4 linked regions of the Sus scrofa genome follow. Each later gene encodes a partner of the first gene's protein in a complex. Links are inferred from orthologs where the notes say so. Each region holds a gene or a part of one and is shown in the gene's direction. Other genes may lie near its edges.

Region 1 (3,558 bases):
ATCAAACCCGAAACCTCATGGTTCCTAGTTGGAGTTGTTTCCATTGAGCCATGATGGGAACTCCTATTTTTGAAATTTTTTATAGTCATTTTTATTACTTTATGATGAAAAGAATCCCAATTAATTGGGGAAAGAGTCATACCAAAAAATAACCCAGCAACCCAATACTTTTTGTCAATGGAAAAGGTAAAAGTTTTGCACTTTATTTTTCTACACCCTCTCCCCATCGATTGCTTAATTTCCCATGGCAGTTACGACACATGGATCCCAGCCAGTGAAATTGAAGCATCTGTGGAAGATGCTCCAACTCCTGAGAAACCCAGAAAGGTAAGCTTTTCTTGTCCATGCCCACCCTCCCCAAGAAGAATGTCAGGGCCAGACCCCTCTCTGGAGGTGAAGCAGAGGCTCCTCTGTTAAGGGTCCCCAGGCAGAACTGGGGTTTCCAGGCCTCCCTCCAGCACAGTCTGCCTTTGTACTTCAGGTTCACGCAAAGTGGATCCTGGACACAGACACCTTCAATGAATGGATGAATGAGGAAGACTATGAAGTGAATGATGACAAAAACCCTGTCTCGCGCCGAAAGAAGATATCAGCCAAGACATTGACAGACGAGGTGAAAACTCCTTTTCTTCTTGAGCCCTTAGCACAAGTCTTGGAATAAGTCTTCATCAGAGATTGTTGGCTGACATTTGCTGCAATTCTCCAACCTGCAGGTGAACAGCCCAGATTCAGATCGACGGGACAAGAAAGGAGGGAACTATAAGAAGCGGAAACGCTCCCCCTCTCCTTCACCGACCCCAGAAGCTAAGAAGAAGAATGCCAAGAAAGGGTAGGCCAGCCCCTCACCCCCTGCCTTCACTGCTCTGTCCATGCTTTTCCCGTAACCACCAGACCCCAACCTGGGTCAGCCTGAGAGGGAGGATGAGGAGGCCTTTTGTTGTCAAGTGGCTGGTTCTGGTCCCGGCCACCGGGAAGCGCAAAGAGAGCTTAATCTCCAAATTCGAGGCTTTTGCCTCTTCCCTTTACTCTGTAGTGATTGTTTCCTCTTTTTGCTCGGCTCTGCCCCCGGATTTTCTCTCTCTCTTTTTTTTTTTCCCTTCCAGTTTTTTTGAGGTGTAGCTGACATACAGCCCTGTATAAGCTTAAGGCATACAGCATCATGATTTGATTTACGCATGTCATGAAGTGATTATCACTGTGAGTTCATGAACATCCATCATCTCATGTAGATAACATAATTAAAGACAGAGAAAAATAAATTAACTTTTTTTCTTATGCTGAGAACTCTGAGGATTTACTCTCTTAGCAATTTGCATGTGTCCCATATGGCAGTGTTATTTTTTTCCCGCTTTTATTGCCTTTTTAGGGCTGCTCCCTCGGCATATGGAGGTTCCCAGGCTAGGGGTCTAATTGGAGCTGTAGCCACCGGCCTACGCCACAGCCACAGCAACACCAGATCCAAGTCGTGTCTGACCTACACCACAGCTCATGGCAACACCAGATCCTTAACCCACTGAGCAAGGGCAGGGATCGAACCTGCAACCTCATGGTTCCCAGCTGGATTCGTTTCCGATGCACCACGATGGGAACTCTGGGCAATGTTCATTATGTTTATCATGGTGTTCGTCACAGACCCTTTGGGAGTCCCTCTTGCCTCCCTTCCCTTGAAGCTCTCCCTCCAGGGATTCCTTGTCCAGAGATGACAGGATTCTCTTTCCCTCTCTTTCCTTCCCAGTCCCTCAACACCTTACACCAAGTCAAAGCGTGGCCACAGAGAAGAGGAGCAAGAAGACCTGACAAAGGACATGGATGAGCCCTCACCGGTTCCCAATGTGGAAGAGGTGACGTTGCCCAAAACAGGTATGGGCCCAGCCAAGCTCCTGGACCCCACCCCCACCCCCATCCTCCCTGTCCTGGGTCAAACCACCTGACCTCCCAGACCCAGCTCCAGGTCTAGGGCTTCTTTCCCTTCAACATAGCTGGTTATTAAAACCATTTTCATCACCACAGACAATCCTCGAACTTCATATTCCTGTCTGGGTTGTGGACTGTGCTCTGTGCCTGACAGTAATTGTCTCCAAAGGTCTTTTGGATTAAATACCACTGTCAATATTGAGCACAAGTTATATACATGTACCCTTTACCACTACTTTGGGAACATTATAAACACACTAATACATTATCTAAAAATGGGAAAACAAAAAGGATAAGATTAAAAAGAATATAGGAGTTCCAACCCCTGGCCTTGCTCAGTGGGTTAAGGATCCAGCGTTGCCGTGAGCTGTGGTATAGGTCACAGACGCGGCTCGGATCTGGCATTGCCGTGGCTGTGGTGTAGGCCAGCAGCTATAGCTCTGATTAGACCCCTAGCCTGGGAACCTCTGTATGCTGCAAAAAGACTAAAAAAAAAAAAAAAAAAAGAACTTACAGACACATAGATGGAATAAGGGCCTGACAAAGACAAGGATGATGGATGAATTACATAGAGTAGAAGATGCTTCTTTTTAAGAAACAAATTGAGTTAAATGAATTTTTGGTTGGGGAAGGGGAGAAAGCGGCAGGGGAGTTTCCGGCCCTAGAATGATTGCAGCTGGAAGACATTACTACAGTTTGTGATGAGGTGGAACAAGTTTTTGGAGAAAGCGAGCTCTCTGGAACTGTTAACAGTGGAGAGGCAAGGTCTTGATTTGGGCAGAAACTGCCTGGTAAAATGACTCTCTCCTCTGGCAGTCAACACTAAGAAGGACTCAGAGTCAGCCCCGGTCAAAGGAGGCACCATGACGGACCTGGGTAAGATGGGGAGCAAGAGGAAGGAGGCGCGGGGCCTTTCAGAAAGCGCACCTGTCCTCTGGCCCGCAGGGCCTCCTATCCTGCCTTCTCTCTGCTGTCGCTCTCTTTCAGATGAACAAGAAGATGAGAGCATGGAGACTACGGGCAAGGTGGAGCCAGTTTAGAGAGGCCCTGCCCCTCTGTGCTTCTGACTTGTGATTATAAAGTTCCTTCTCCCCAGAACTTTCCTCTGCCCAGACTTTTCCCACCCTAGACGAAGTCCAGCTGTTGCTCAAAACTCTGACCCTTGGAGTCCTGGGGCCCCTAACAGCTCATTCCCACCCCAGTCTTCAGTGCCAGCATTCCTGGGTGTGGGAGAAGCAGGGTCTGCCGGGGGGCGGAATGGGAATGCTCGGAGTCCAACAGCCTCCATGCTCATAGGATGAAGATGAGAACAGTACGGGGAACAAGGGAGAGCAGACCAAGAATCCGGACCTACACGAGGACAATGTGACCGAACAGACCCACCACATCATCATCCCCAGCTACGCTGCCTGGTTTGACTATAATAGGTATTGTTGCTCCAGCTTCTCCCTAAATCCTTACTTCCCTGCCGCCAGAGGTCAGCGTGTTGTTCCTCCTCCTGCCTCTAAATAAGTTATCTCTTCCTTAGCCATACAGACGGGGGTACAGTTCAGTTTGAGGGGCGCCCCTAGGAGTCTCGTTGAGTCTTCCAGCCTCGGTGGGAAGTTCTCCTTAAGCATCTCATCTCCTTCCTGATGCCCCACA
Region 2 (4,295 bases), about 5.6 Mb from region 1:
GCAGGGTGCTGACAGGTGGCAGCTGAGGTCTTTAGTCAGTGGCCTTTCCCTCCTGGCTGCCCAGGCCCCTTTGCTCACCTAATACCCAAGCCCACCACTTATATTTTCTGGTAAGGTATGGTTTGGTAGCGGGAGGAAAGAGACAGGCCTAGAGGGGAAGTTAAAACTCTGCCGTTCTGTCCCTCCCTTCCTACTTTAATGAGAAACCTGTGAGGCCAAGGACCTGCCGTGCCTCCTCCACCAGGCGCTCCCCTCAGGCCAGAGCGCTGCCTCTTCCCAGGCCTTCTCTGCCCAGCTGTCTCTCAGTCTCCACCCCCAGAACAAGACCTGTGGCAGGTCACCTGTGCATTGACCTGGAGCTGCAGGGTGAGGCTGTAGGATCTTTGGGAACTCTGGGTTCCTGGGAACTCCTAGGAGATCAGACCTCTCCAGAGGGAAGCAGGAGCAAGGCCAAAGGGTGTGCACCAGATGGGGAACAGCAGGCAGGGCTATGGGTGACGCATGTCTCTGGTCTAATAAACTGGGTTTCAACCATCTCCTCTTCAGTGTCGTTCTTCTCTTATTTGAATAGTATGTAGGACTTCCTACTAAGAGCTGACCTTGGATTGGGGCCAATCAGGGGAGGAGTAAGGGAGCCAGAGCAGGGATACGCTGGTCCTGGGATGGGACAAGCTGACCATCACACCAGAAATGGTTTGAACCACTGGGCAGGGAAAGAGGAAGAGATCAAAGGTTAACAAAGATCCCAAAGAGAAATCCTAGTACAAAGGAGGCTTTGGAGACGGCGTGGGGTCAAACTTCAAAATATACTTAAAATCTGGAAGCAGGTTAGGTTAAAGGTCAGGGGAAAGGCTGGGTTGAAGTTCTAGCATTAGGTAGTTATTGAGGCACTTTATCTGTGGCATGAGCCCTGGGCTATGAGCCAGACCTGGATTCTAAGCCTTGGCTTTCGCGTTAACTTGCTGGTTGACTACACCGAGTCATTTCCTCTCGAGTTCACCTCTCCTGTTTGCAAAATGGAAAGGTGCGTCCTCCTCTTCGGCTCCTGGGCTTAGAGCCGGAGGAGAAGGAAAAGAAACACGCGCTTTGGAAAGTTAAAACGCCCTGCGCCCAGATGAAGCAGTTACTCCATCACCCTCTTCATCAGAGCTTTGGGACGGTGCTGTGGTCCCCCTTTCCAGGTCCTTGTCTTCCTCCCGCCGGCCTGGGGGCGCCCGCTCACGGGCCTCTCTATCCCAGAGCTCTTCTCGATGGTGTTCCCTGCCGGACCGCGAAGGCTGGAGGGAGTGGTCAGCACGCTTTTTCCGCTCGTCGCCCCCCTCTAGCCCACAGTCTCGCTGCCCTGGGCCTCCCGTGCCGGCGGGCCGGCCGGGCGGACAGGCGGGCGCGCTGGGGGCGCGCGGGGGCGGGGGGAGTTCCGGTTCCGGTTCTTTGTGCAGCTGCAGCAGCGGCTCCGGGAAAGATGGCGGCCCGGGCGGGTTTCCAGTCTGTGGCTCCGAGTGGCGGCGCCGGAGCTTCAGGCGGGGCGGGCGCGGCGGCTGCCCTGGGCCCGGGCGGGACTCCGGGGCCTCCGGTGCGAATGGGCCCGGCGCCGGGTCAAGGGCTGTACCGCTCCCCGATGCCCGGAGCGGCCTATCCGGTGAGTGGGGCAGGAGGAGGGGCGCGCGGGCCGGGGGCGGGGCCGAGCGGGGGCCTGGGAGTGACGGGGTGGGGGGAGGAGTAGGAGGGACTCCCCTGGGAGGGATTCGGTTCGCGAGGGAGGGTCGGGGGAGGCAGTGCGCGGAAGGGAGGGGAGGCGGTTAGCATCCCCACCAGCTCGTAGGGGCATTGTTTCCTTGGGGAGTCGGGGTGTAGAACCAGGGTGAACGAAGCGGGGCCAAGGGTGGGCTTGTGAGAGTTGGAGTGCAAAAAGGCTTAGGCAGCTCCAGTGCCCAGAGGAGCACAGAAGGTGTACCTGGCAAATTGAGGTCAGCTTTTGAGGAGATGGTAGCTGGCTGTGCTGTCTGAGTACTGGGAGCAGAGGAGATGTCCAATGGCAGATACAAACTAGACTGGGGAGAATTTGAGTATAATCTGCTCTCTTAGCTTTGGGCTGGAGTCCCCTGTGGGATCACAAGTGGAGCAGAGGAAGCTCCAGTGATCTATATTTCAAAGAGGTAGAGGGGTCTTCTCCCACCCCCCATGCCCCCAGCCTGGTTCGATTCAGAGAACTCAGGCTTCCCCCACTTTCCCTTTCCTGGTGGGGTTTGCAAGGGAAGCCATGACATCTCTGGGTCCTCTCCCCTCTGTAGAGACCAGGTATGCTACCAGGCAGCCGAATGACACCTCAGGGACCTTCCATGGGACCCCCTGGCTATGGGGGGAACCCTTCAGTCCGACCTGGCCTGGCCCAGTCAGGGATGGACCAGTCCCGCAAGAGACCTGCACCTCAGCAGATCCAGCAGGTCCAGCAACAGGCGGTCCAAAATCGGAACCACAAGTAAGATGACCCCAGGGTGGAGAGCGGGAGGGCGGACACAGGTGGTGGGAGTACCTCAAGCAAGAAGTGACGACGCTGTGTCAGCAGACAGTGGAGACTGTTTCGTGTTTGGTGGGGGTGGGGGGTGTCTTTGATTTGAGAGAAGCTTTGCGGTTCTTTCTCTTGACTATAAATGGAGGTGCTGACAGCCTGTCTTCATGTTCTGGCTAGTTCCATCCCAACCTGATAACAGTATTTATTCCAAACAGTGCAAAGAAAAAGAAGATGGCTGACAAAATTCTACCTCAAAGGGTGAGTCCAGGCTGTATAGGTCTTCTTGAGGGTGTGTTGAGTTGGAGAAGAGAGATGGCCAGCTCTAGATCCCAATGATACCTTTCTGTTCCTCAGATTCGTGAACTGGTACCAGAATCCCAGGCCTATATGGATCTCTTGGCTTTTGAAAGGAAACTGGACCAGACTATCATGAGGAAACGGCTAGATATCCAGGAGGCCTTGAAGCGTCCCATCAAGGTAACGCAGGAGAGTGCTAGGCAGAGAGCCAAAGGAGAGGACTCGGGAACCTTCAGCAGGCTAAGGATGAGAAATCAAAGGCATAGCGCCGCTCTCCTTGGCATTTAAATTACATCTCTCCCTTCCGCCTACAAACCGAGAATTACATTAGAAGCATAAGAACAGAACAGCTCAGGGGGAGGGGCTTTTGGTAGTTCTTGCACCAGAAATATACTCTGTTGGTGTTTTTGCTATAACTGCTCTGTCACCTTGGGAACCTGGCACCTCGCATGACTTTGTCTACCTGGCACCCCAGTGCATGCACTTGCATTTGGGCCAGTGGCCTGTGCTCTTCTAGGTGGAATCTCCGTCCACCCACCCCAGGGCCTGGGTAAATAGTAAGCCAGTCTGTTAGGAGACGTTTTGGGGTTTGGGGAGACCCTGGTCTTCAGCGTGAAACCACTGAAGCCCCACTGTCAATCCTGTTTCTGCCTTCCTCAGCAAAAACGGAAGCTGCGAATTTTCATTTCTAACACTTTCAATCCGGCTAAGTCAGATGCCGAGGATGGGGAAGGGACGGTGGCTTCCTGGGAGCTTCGGGTAGAAGGACGCCTCCTGGAGGATGTGAGTTCAAGGTCCACTGTGGTCAGCATCTAGGGTGGGAGCTGCTGGGAACAAGCAGTATTGTCTGGTTGGCAGGAAGCCTGACTGGTGCTCACAGCTCCTGTTGGGAACAGCAGGGAGAGGGTCACTGTGTTCCCTGCGCTAAAAGACAATGGTTCTTTGTGTCTGGCTCCCACAGCCTGGCTCTCTCTGTGGTATCGTATGGAGAACCGTATTGCCCTGGGATTTGATTTGTTGTTTGTCTCCCTCCTGATGCTGCTAGCCCTTGGATTTGGCAGTATCTGCAGATTTTCCAGTTAGGGTTGTTCTGGTTTTGTTTTTGTTTTTTAAACCAAGTGAGTTTGCACTTAGCATTTGAGGCCCTGCTTTCCTCCCAGAGTCCTTGAGGTCCTTGATTCCCGCTGCAGTATTGCCGTCTTCCCAGTTTCCACTGGAGACATTTCACAGTTTCCATGGGCGAGGTCTCTCGGACAGGCTCTTTGCTGCCTCATGGGGAACATCAGCTGACAGGTGATAGCCCCCAGACTTCACACCCCAGAAGCTCCTTGGGGAAGCTCACCTGCCATTCCCTTATATTCTCTTGCTCTCTATTTTTAGCTGTTCACAGGCAAGCCAGTATGAATGCATTTTTCAGGAGAACCAGGGCTCGTGTCAGAGCCTCCTTCTTTTCTATATAGGTCCGGTCCATCTGCCAGTGTTATCA
Region 3 (4,309 bases), on another chromosome or scaffold:
CCCTCTTCCTTGGCTACTTCTGGTCTTAATGTCCCCCTTACCCCCAAACAAGTAGGTAGGAGTGCCCCTGAGCCACACAAGTATTCACACATACATTCATGTATGTGCATATGCACACACATGCTGACACACTCAAACACACACAGATAAGCACACACCTACACACAGGCTCACAAAAGAGTGTCTCAGCTGAGCCAGACTTTCAGAGTTGATCCTTGGCCTTCAATATCAAAACTGCTGTGGAGGAGCTCCCACTGTGGTTCAGTGGAAACAAACCCAACTAGTAACCATGAGGATGCAGTTTAGATCCCTGGCCTTGATCAGTGGGTTAAGGATCTGGCATTGACCAAGCTGTGGTGTAGGTTTAAGGAAGACATGGCTCAGATCTGGTGTTGCTGTGGCTGTGGTGGTGTAGGCCGGCAGCTGCAGCTCAGATTTAATCCCTAGCCTGGGAACTTCCTTTTGCCTCGGGGTGTGGTCCTAAAAAAAAAAAAACAAAACAAAAAACGAAAAATAACGGAGTTCCCGTCGTGGCGCAGTAGTTAACGAATCCGACTAGGAACCACGAGGTTGCGGGTTCGTCCCTGGCCCTGCTCAGTGGGTTAATGATCTGGCGTTGCCGTGAGCTGTGGTGTAGGTTGCAGACGCGGCTTGGATGCCACGTTGCTGTGGCTCTGGCGTAGGCCGATGGCTCCAGCTCCAATTAGACCCCTAGCCTGGGAACCTCCATACGCCGCGGGAGCGGCCCAAGGAATGGCAAAAAAAAAAAAAAAAGCAAACCCCGCCCACCCCCTCCCCCCCCCAAGTGGCCTCAGGCGATGCCCAGAAAAACCTAGGAGCCTCTGGTACAAAACCTGCTTGCTTGATAAATAGCTCCAGAAAGGAATAGATAAAGAGAGCGAAAAGGAAAGGAAGCAAAAGCTAGGTTAGCTGAGTGCCATGTATGAATACGTGTACATGTGTGTACACGTGTGTATGTATAAGGTGTAGGCACTAGGGGATGAGCAGGAAAAGAGGAGTCATCAGAAGGACAAGGGTGGAAAGAAACAGGGAGAAAATCGAGACACACCTGTTTCCTTACCTCTCCTCCTTCCCTACCCCACTTTCCTGGTGATTTCATTTAGTTCAGGGTATGGCAGAACCTTGCTCAGGAGCCTGAGAATGGACGAGTCTGCGAGACTATGGCGCCCTCTCCTCGACCCCATTTTAAAATAAGGAAGCAGAAGCCCTGTCGGTCACCATACAGAGTCCTGATCTCCGGATGGACAAGGTTTCCATCTCTTGCCTACTCCTGCTTCTTGCCTGCCTATCCCTTAGGGCGGGCCTCGAGGTCCTTGATCCCGTTAATTCCCTCCCTGACGCCTAATGTTGAGGTGTCTGGCCCTTTAAAGCAGCAGCCCCCGGTCGAGTTATTGTCTCCCCTCTCAGCCAATCGGCGGCGCCGTTGGGGGCGGGGGACCCGGCCTCCCGATAGGCCGCTCTGAGCCCCGCCCCTCCCGGGATTCCGGGAGCTGTCCGGCCACCTCGGTGCTGATCCCGCCGCCGCCGCCCACGGGCCGCGAGCAGCGCTGAGAGGGCACTATGAGCGGGGGCGTCTATGGCGGAGGTGAGCGAGCCTCGGGCTTCGGGCTCCCCAGCCCGGCGCGGCCTCACCCGAAGCCCAGCGCCCCGAACCCGCGCGATCCAAGCTCTGGACACTCTGGGGCCTGTCACTCGGCGCTACAGCGGGTCCAACCCGGGGTTTGGGTCCTGCACCGCTCCAACCTAAGACCCTTCCCAGACGCTCGCACGCACTCGGCCCAACCTCTCCATCATTCAACCCACCTCCACCCGGCCCCCAGCCTGGCAAGGAGAGTGGCCTGCACACGGGCCACGGGTCAAAAGGGACTTTGGAATCTTGACCCCCACTCCCAAGACCCCGAACTCCTGGCCGAGCTCCCACCTGCCCCGTCCGACGTTGAAGGTGGTGAGACTGTGGCTCTGCCCTGACCTCCTCTCGGAGCAATCCAAGGGGAGAGAGTTTGGGACAGGTCCCCTCACAGGTCTGTCTCTCCGCACAGATGAGGTGGGCGCGCTGGTCTTTGACATTGGCTCCTTCTCAGTCCGCGCTGGGTATGCTGGGGAGGACTGCCCCAAGGTGAGCCTTCCAGCCCCCTCCCCAAATCCTGCCCCCCACCCCCAGGCTTCTCAGTGATCTAGGGTCTCAAGGCCAAGAAAGAAGCTCTGCTGAGCTGGAATTTGGCAGTAAGCCCAGGGATGGGCTGAGAGCCCTGCCAAGGGCCTGGGTAGGTGCAAGAGATTGATTTTTCCTCTGTATTTGCCCCCCTCCAGGCTGACTTCCCCACCACTGTGGGGCTGCTGGCCGCAGAGGAGGGGGGTGGGCTGGAGTTGGAGGGGGAGAAAGAGAAGAAAGGGAAGATCTTTCACATTGATACCAACGCCCTCCACGTGCCTCGGGATGGAGCAGAAGTTATGTCCCCCCTCAAGAATGGCATGAGTAAGGGGCTCGCACCCACTGCCTCCTAACACAGACTGGGAGCCCACCCCCCCTCACCCCAGGGCACAGCACTCCACACCCAAGGAGTCTTCCTTGCAGCTGCCCAAGTCCCAGGGATGCCCTCACTACTTTGCACAGCTGCCTGGTTCCTAACCAGGGGCCACCAGATTCCTGGGGAGGGGGAATTTCTACGGGAGCTTGTCTCACCTCTCCTCCATTGGCCTTGGCCTCCCTCCTTCCTTTCCTTCCTGTCCCTGGACACCCGCCTGCCCACCTTCATCTCTCCCCTGGTCTCCTGGCCCCAGTCGAGGACTGGGAGTGCTTCCGTGCGATCCTGGATCACACCTACAGCAAACACGTCAAGTCCGAGCCAAACCTGCACCCAGTGCTCATGTCTGAGGCCCCGGTAAGTGCCTCATCCAGCCCCTAGTTTAGCTCTGGGTCCCACCATTTACCATTCACCTCTCTCATCAAGCCACTGCCATCAATCACTCCACTTCGCTTTTTGGACTTTCCTTCCTTTTTTTCTTTTTTTTATTTTTAGGACCACACCTGTGACATATGGAGGTTCCCAGGCTAGGGGTCCAATCGGAGCTGTAGCTGCTGGCCTATACGACAGCCACACCAATACAGGATCCAAGCCACGTGTGCAACCTACACCACAGCTCATGACAACGCCGGATCCTTAACCCACTGAGCGAGGCCTGGGGTTGAACCCCCATCCTCATGGATGCTAGTTGGGTTCATTAATAGCTGAGCCACAGGGGGAACTCCCTCAGAGTTTCCTTCCAACACCATCATCTTCAACTACTTTCTTTCCTCCCTGGTTTAATCTCCATGCCTCGCTCTTCCCGCCCCATCCACGTGCTTTTCCCCCAGCCAGACTCCTACACTGCCCCTCCACTGCCCCTCCTCCCAAGATCTTTTTTGAACTTTTAACTTAAAATTGTTGTCCATATTATATATACACATCAATAGTCAATTTACAATAACACAACATTGTAAATGAACTATACTTCAATTTTTGGGTTTTTTGGGGTTTTTTTGGTTGGTTGGTTGGGTGGTTTTTTTTTTTTGTTTTTTTTTTTTTTTGTTTTTTTTTTTTTGCTTTATAGGGCTGTACCCATGGTATATGGAGGTTCCCAGGCTAGGGGTCTAATAGGAACTATAGCTGCCGGCCTACACCACAGCCACAGCAAGGCCAGATCTGAGCTGGGTCTGCAACCTACAGCACATTTCCTGGCAACACCAGATCCTTAACCCACTGAGCGAGGCTAGGGATCGAACCTGCAACCTCATGGTTCCTAATTGGATTCGTTTCCACTGTGCCACATCAGGAACTCCTATACGTCAATTTTTAAGTAAAAAATAAAGTGAAAGTGATAATCAATTTGCTTTAGAAAATATGTTAAGGGAAAAACTGGCATTCATACCCTCTTTCTTCTCTTCACCCTTTTCCAGAGGCAGTTGCTTTTCTCTTAGCTTTTTTTTTTTCCCATTACCTTTCATATCTCTGATTATCACACTTGAATTGAATTGCTGATCATGATTTTTATTTATTTATTTATTTATTTTTAGGGCTGCACCTGAGGCATATGGAAGTTCCCAGACAAGGGGCCAAATCAGAGCTATAGCTGCCAGCCTACACCACAGCCACAGCAAGGCTGGATCTGAGCCTTATCTGTGACCTGCACCACAGCTCTGGGCAATGATGGATCCTTAACCTACTGAGTGAGGCCAGGGATCGAACCTGCATCCTCACTAATACTAGTCATGAATACTGCTGAACCACAATGGGAACTCCTGATTGTG
Region 4 (4,105 bases), on another chromosome or scaffold:
GAGGAGCTGCTACTCCCAGAAAGGAAGAGGCGGGCTTTTCCGACCCCCACTCCCCCTGGATGATAAAGCTGTAGCCCACCTGATTCGTGGGGCAGAGCTTCCTTGCCTGCCTGCTGGCATCCCTCACAAGCGTCCTATCCTAATAAATCTATTTCTTGGCTATCACTGTGTCTCTCGCTGAATTCCTTCTGCACGGAAGCATAAAGAACCTGAACCTCAGTGAGTCCAGACCTCAGGTGAGTGCTCGTTTAAAACATGGGTTCAAGCCCCAATCTGTGTTCTGGCTAGGTTCAGGCCATTAATACTGTCAGTTTCAAATGGGTCAACAAAATGTGGTGTGTAAGAGTTCCCCGCGTGGCTCAGTGGTAATGAACCCCACTAGTATCCATGAGGATGCAGGTTCAATCCCTGGCCTCGCTCTGTGGGCTAAGGATCCAGCATTGCTGTGAGCTGTGGTGTAGGTGGCAGACTCAGCTCAGATTACAAATTGCTGTGGCTGTGGTGTAGGCCTGCAGCTGCAGCTCCAATTCCACCCCTAGCCTAGGAACCTCCATATGCCACAGGTGCTGCCCAGAAAGACTTAAAAAAAAATGGCATATATTCATCTGTGCATTGCATATATGCAGACAACAGGAATCTTCTCCTCAAAAGGATGGAATTTCTGACACGTTACAGCATGGATGAAGCTCAAGGCCGTTATGCTCAGTGAAATCAGCCAGTCGCCAAAGGGCAAATACAGAATGATTTCATTTGTATGAAGTACTCAAGAATAGTCAGATTCACAGAGACAGCCTGCGGAGTGACCAGAGCGGCTCCTCTGGCTGCAAGTCCAGGAAGGGATTCTCCGGGGCCAGCGTCCCCGCGGAATCGGTAGTACAGCCCGGAGGGACACAGATTAGACCAGGAGCGTGCACATGCATGACGGGGCGGGGCGGGGGCATCCGTCGGAGCCTGTCCTTGAACCTGGAGTGGAACCGAGGCCCTCTCCCCACTGAGAGTGTGTGTGTCTGTCTGTCTGTGGTCCCATGCGCCTAATGTCTGCGGTCACATCGGACCCTCTGAAGGTCTATGTGAATCCGCGGGCGCAGAGGCGCATCTACAGACGAAGGCACATCTGTGCACTGACTAAATGAACATCACAATGGGCCCGGCCAGTGCGCGCCGCGGTGCTCCAAGCGTGGCGATCGCACATTCGGATGGATGGGGCGACGCTGACTGCTCTGATCCCTAACTCATTATTAAGCTCCTCGCTCTTTGCAGACGCTCCCTGCGCCTCCCCCGCTCCCGGCAGCAGCGGCGCAGGCGCCGGGCCGAGCCGAGCGCCGAGCAGGGAGCGAGCGACCGCGCTCCGGGCCGGGGTCCCGGGGGAGCAGGTGAGCGACCCGCGCCGCGCGGCCCCCAGGCCCTTGGAGGAGACGCCGCCCGGCCGCGCTGCGCCGGCGCCCCGGCCTTCCCTGCTTGGCAGTACCCGTCTTGCCTCTACTGGCATCACCCCTCCTTCCTTTGCCTGGCATCCCTCCTCCCCCCCGCCTGGTACCTCCTCGCCTCCCGCCTGCCTGGCATCCCTCACCGCCCCCCCCCCCCGTCTGGCGTTTCCTTCCCCCCTCCCCTTGCCTGGCATTTCCCTGTTCTCCCTCTGCCTGGCACCTCCCTTCTTACCCCTTCCTGGCACCTTCCTCTTACCTGGCACCCCCTTCTCCCTGCCTGGCTCCCCCCCTCTCCTTTCCTGATCTCTCCCCCCACTCCTGACTCCCCTCGCCCCACCGCCCCGCCTGGCACCTCCCCCCACTCCCTTTCTTGCACCTCTTCCCTGACTGGCAAACTCCCATCCAGCCTCCTCTCTGATTCTTCCCCCTCCACGCCTCACCCGGCTTCTTTCCCTCCTCCCCTTACCTGGTCCCTCCCCTCTCCCCCTCCCCTGCATTCCCCCGTTTTCCCTTTGCCTGGCACTCTCCTGCCTGGTACCTTCCTCTCCTCCCTCGTGTCTGGCACCTTCCCTCCTCCCCAACTGCCTTGTACCTACTTGTCCCCAGTGGCCTGTCCCCTCCTCCCTGCCCAGCACTTTCCTGCCCTGCTCCTGACTGGAGCTTTCCTCCCCACCCCCTCCCTACCTGGCATCTCCCCCCCTCCCCCATGCTTGGCACCCCCACCCCACCCCTGCCTGGCCCAACCCCCTCCCCTGCCCTCCTCCTCCCCCTCCCCCCGCCTGTCTCTCCCCTCTCCCCCCTGCCTGGCCCTCTCCCTCCCCCCTGCCTGGCCCCTCCTTCCCTCCCTTGTGCCCCTTCCTCTTGGCCTCCTCTTGCCCAACACCTCTCCCCCATTCAGATTGTCCCTCTTCCTGCCAGGTACCTCCTCCCCTGCCCCAGGCTGGTAACATCCTCCCCTCTTGGCATCTCCCTCCTCTCACTGCCTCCCTGCCTCCTCACCCTTCTCAGAGTCACCCTCTGGCCAACACCCCCAGCACATGCCCCTGAACTGCTCCCAAGCCCCCACACTGCTCCCAAGCTACCACACTGCCCCCTCCTCGTCCCCCAACCTGCTGTCTGCCCACAAGTTGGGTTCTGACCCTAGCCCACCGCCTTCCTCCCTGGCAGGGGGTGACCACGAAGGCTGGGCACACAGGGAGGGCCCACTGTCGGCTGGGCAGACTACAGAGCGGGTTGGCTCTACTGCCACCCACCCCTAGCTGTCCCTTGGGACATCCTTGAGCTCCAGAAGTCATCCAGGTCCCATCCTGGCTGCCGGTCATGCCCTCCCCACCCCAGTGCCCGGCTCTCTCCTCCACTCTTGACAGGACCCCCCAAAGGTGCTGCCTCTGCCAGGGCCTGGGCTCTGCCAGCTCCTTGACTCGCATCCTTCCAGGCCTGACCTGTAGGCCTTGGTCTCTGACTGCTTCCTGCAGTCACGCTGCCCTTCCTTGTGCCACCCAGCCAGGCTGGCCCAGCCCGCCCCCTGCTCCCTTCCTACGCGCCTCCTGCCTTCCTCAGACCTTGTCATGGAGCTGGTCCACACAGCAGGCCCTTGTGAGTCTGGCTCTGGGGCTCGGGGTCTGGCCAGTCCCTCCCACTGCCCTCTCCTTTCAGATCCCCCCCAGAATGGCCCTTGGTGCTGCAGGCACGGTAGGCTCTGGGCCCGGGCACCGAGGGGGCACTGGATGACTCCCCCGCTGCAGGACCCTGCCACCTATGACTCCAGGCCTTCAGCACCCACCCGCCGTGGTACAGGTAGGCGCTGCTGCCCTCCCCCCACCCCACCCCCGCCAGCCCTGGAGCAGGAGCCTCGGGGTTCCACTGAGAGTCACTGGCTCTCAGCCTCTGGTCCTACCCCTGGGCCCCCTCTTGGCCCTTCTGCCCCGAGCTGGACCTGTGGCAGGGCCTCTTCTCATCCCCTACCCCAATTGGAACCTCTGCCCAGGCCCTGCTGGCAGCCACCTCCACACTGGCCCCCCCTCTTGCTCAGGGTCCCCTTACTTTCCACTGTCCCTGGGTCCTGCCTCTTGAAGCCAGTCGGAGCCAGGGACAAGTGAGCCTCCTCTGGCTTGTTCCATGTCCTCCCCACGGACACCCAGACACACGCCTTCTCGCCCCTCACCTGTGCGCGAGCGCACACACACACACACACACACACACACACACACACACACCCCAGCACACAGCTGGGAGGAAACCGCTGATCCTGGCACAACTTGGGCTCTGGAAACCTACCCCCAAACCTGCTATGGCGAACATCCGAAAGCTTTCTGGGACCCGGACAGGGGTTCGTTCCAGGCAGGAGGGGTGGCGTCCTGTGGCAGGGCCTCTGGTGGAGCTGGCCTTGCCCTGCCACCAGGCAGGCCTCCGGCTCAGAGGTGCTGGCTCTCAGGCCCGTAGTGAGCGCGCCAACTCCCGGCAGGCAGCGTGAGAGGAGACAGCCTGGCTAGTCCCCCGTCGGGGCCCCTGGTGCAGAAGGAAGCGCTGAGGCACCGTGTGGAACGGCCACCTGGCCCAGAGCCCCATTCATCTGCGTGAGGGTGGAGCTGGGTCCGAGACATGCCATCTGGGCTGAGCTCGGCCTGTCCAGCCCCCCGCCCCCGTCACTCTGGTCGCCTCACTGGGGGGAGTCATCT

What was found. Proteins that work in one complex are often made in the same cells at the same time.
Region 2: SMARCC2 (region 1) and SMARCD1 share a complex: the UniProt entries of both Homo sapiens proteins name them as parts of the BAF complex. The link is inferred for Sus scrofa from reciprocal best matches to the Homo sapiens genes SMARCC2 and SMARCD1.
Region 3: SMARCC2 (region 1) and ACTL6B share a complex: the UniProt entries of both Homo sapiens proteins name them as parts of the BAF complex. The link is inferred for Sus scrofa from reciprocal best matches to the Homo sapiens genes SMARCC2 and ACTL6B.
Region 4: SMARCC2 (region 1) and SMARCD3 share a complex: the UniProt entries of both Homo sapiens proteins name them as parts of the BAF complex. The link is inferred for Sus scrofa from reciprocal best matches to the Homo sapiens genes SMARCC2 and SMARCD3.

The regions. Positions count from the first base shown.
Region 1 is NC_010447.5:21,576,754-21,580,311, reverse strand, and holds part of SMARCC2 (SWI/SNF complex subunit SMARCC2), read left to right. Parts: intron 1-251; coding exon 252-327; intron 328-481; coding exon 482-613; intron 614-713; coding exon 714-829; intron 830-1,735; coding exon 1,736-1,860; intron 1,861-2,730; coding exon 2,731-2,790; intron 2,791-2,901; coding exon 2,902-2,939; intron 2,940-3,210; coding exon 3,211-3,341; intron 3,342-3,558. UniProt on the Homo sapiens protein: Involved in transcriptional activation and repression of select genes by chromatin remodeling (alteration of DNA-nucleosome topology).
Region 2 is NC_010447.5:15,991,345-15,995,639, forward strand, and holds the start of SMARCD1 (SWI/SNF-related matrix-associated actin-dependent regulator of chromatin subfamily D member 1), read left to right. Parts: upstream 1-1,462; coding exon 1,463-1,639; intron 1,640-2,291; coding exon 2,292-2,479; intron 2,480-2,727; coding exon 2,728-2,770; intron 2,771-2,866; coding exon 2,867-2,989; intron 2,990-3,469; coding exon 3,470-3,592; intron 3,593-4,295. UniProt on the Homo sapiens protein: Involved in transcriptional activation and repression of select genes by chromatin remodeling (alteration of DNA-nucleosome topology).
Region 3 is NC_010445.4:8,565,942-8,570,250, reverse strand, and holds the start of ACTL6B (actin-like protein 6B), read left to right. Parts: upstream 1-1,476; 5' UTR 1,477-1,581; coding exon 1,582-1,606; intron 1,607-2,060; coding exon 2,061-2,137; intron 2,138-2,331; coding exon 2,332-2,497; intron 2,498-2,802; coding exon 2,803-2,903; intron 2,904-4,309. UniProt on the Homo sapiens protein: Involved in transcriptional activation and repression of select genes by chromatin remodeling (alteration of DNA-nucleosome topology).
Region 4 is NC_010460.4:5,957,194-5,961,298, forward strand, and holds the start of SMARCD3 (SWI/SNF-related matrix-associated actin-dependent regulator of chromatin subfamily D member 3), read left to right. Parts: upstream 1-1,272; 5' UTR 1,273-1,373; intron 1,374-3,083; 5' UTR 3,084-3,185; coding exon 3,186-3,224; intron 3,225-4,105. UniProt on the Homo sapiens protein: Involved in transcriptional activation and repression of select genes by chromatin remodeling (alteration of DNA-nucleosome topology).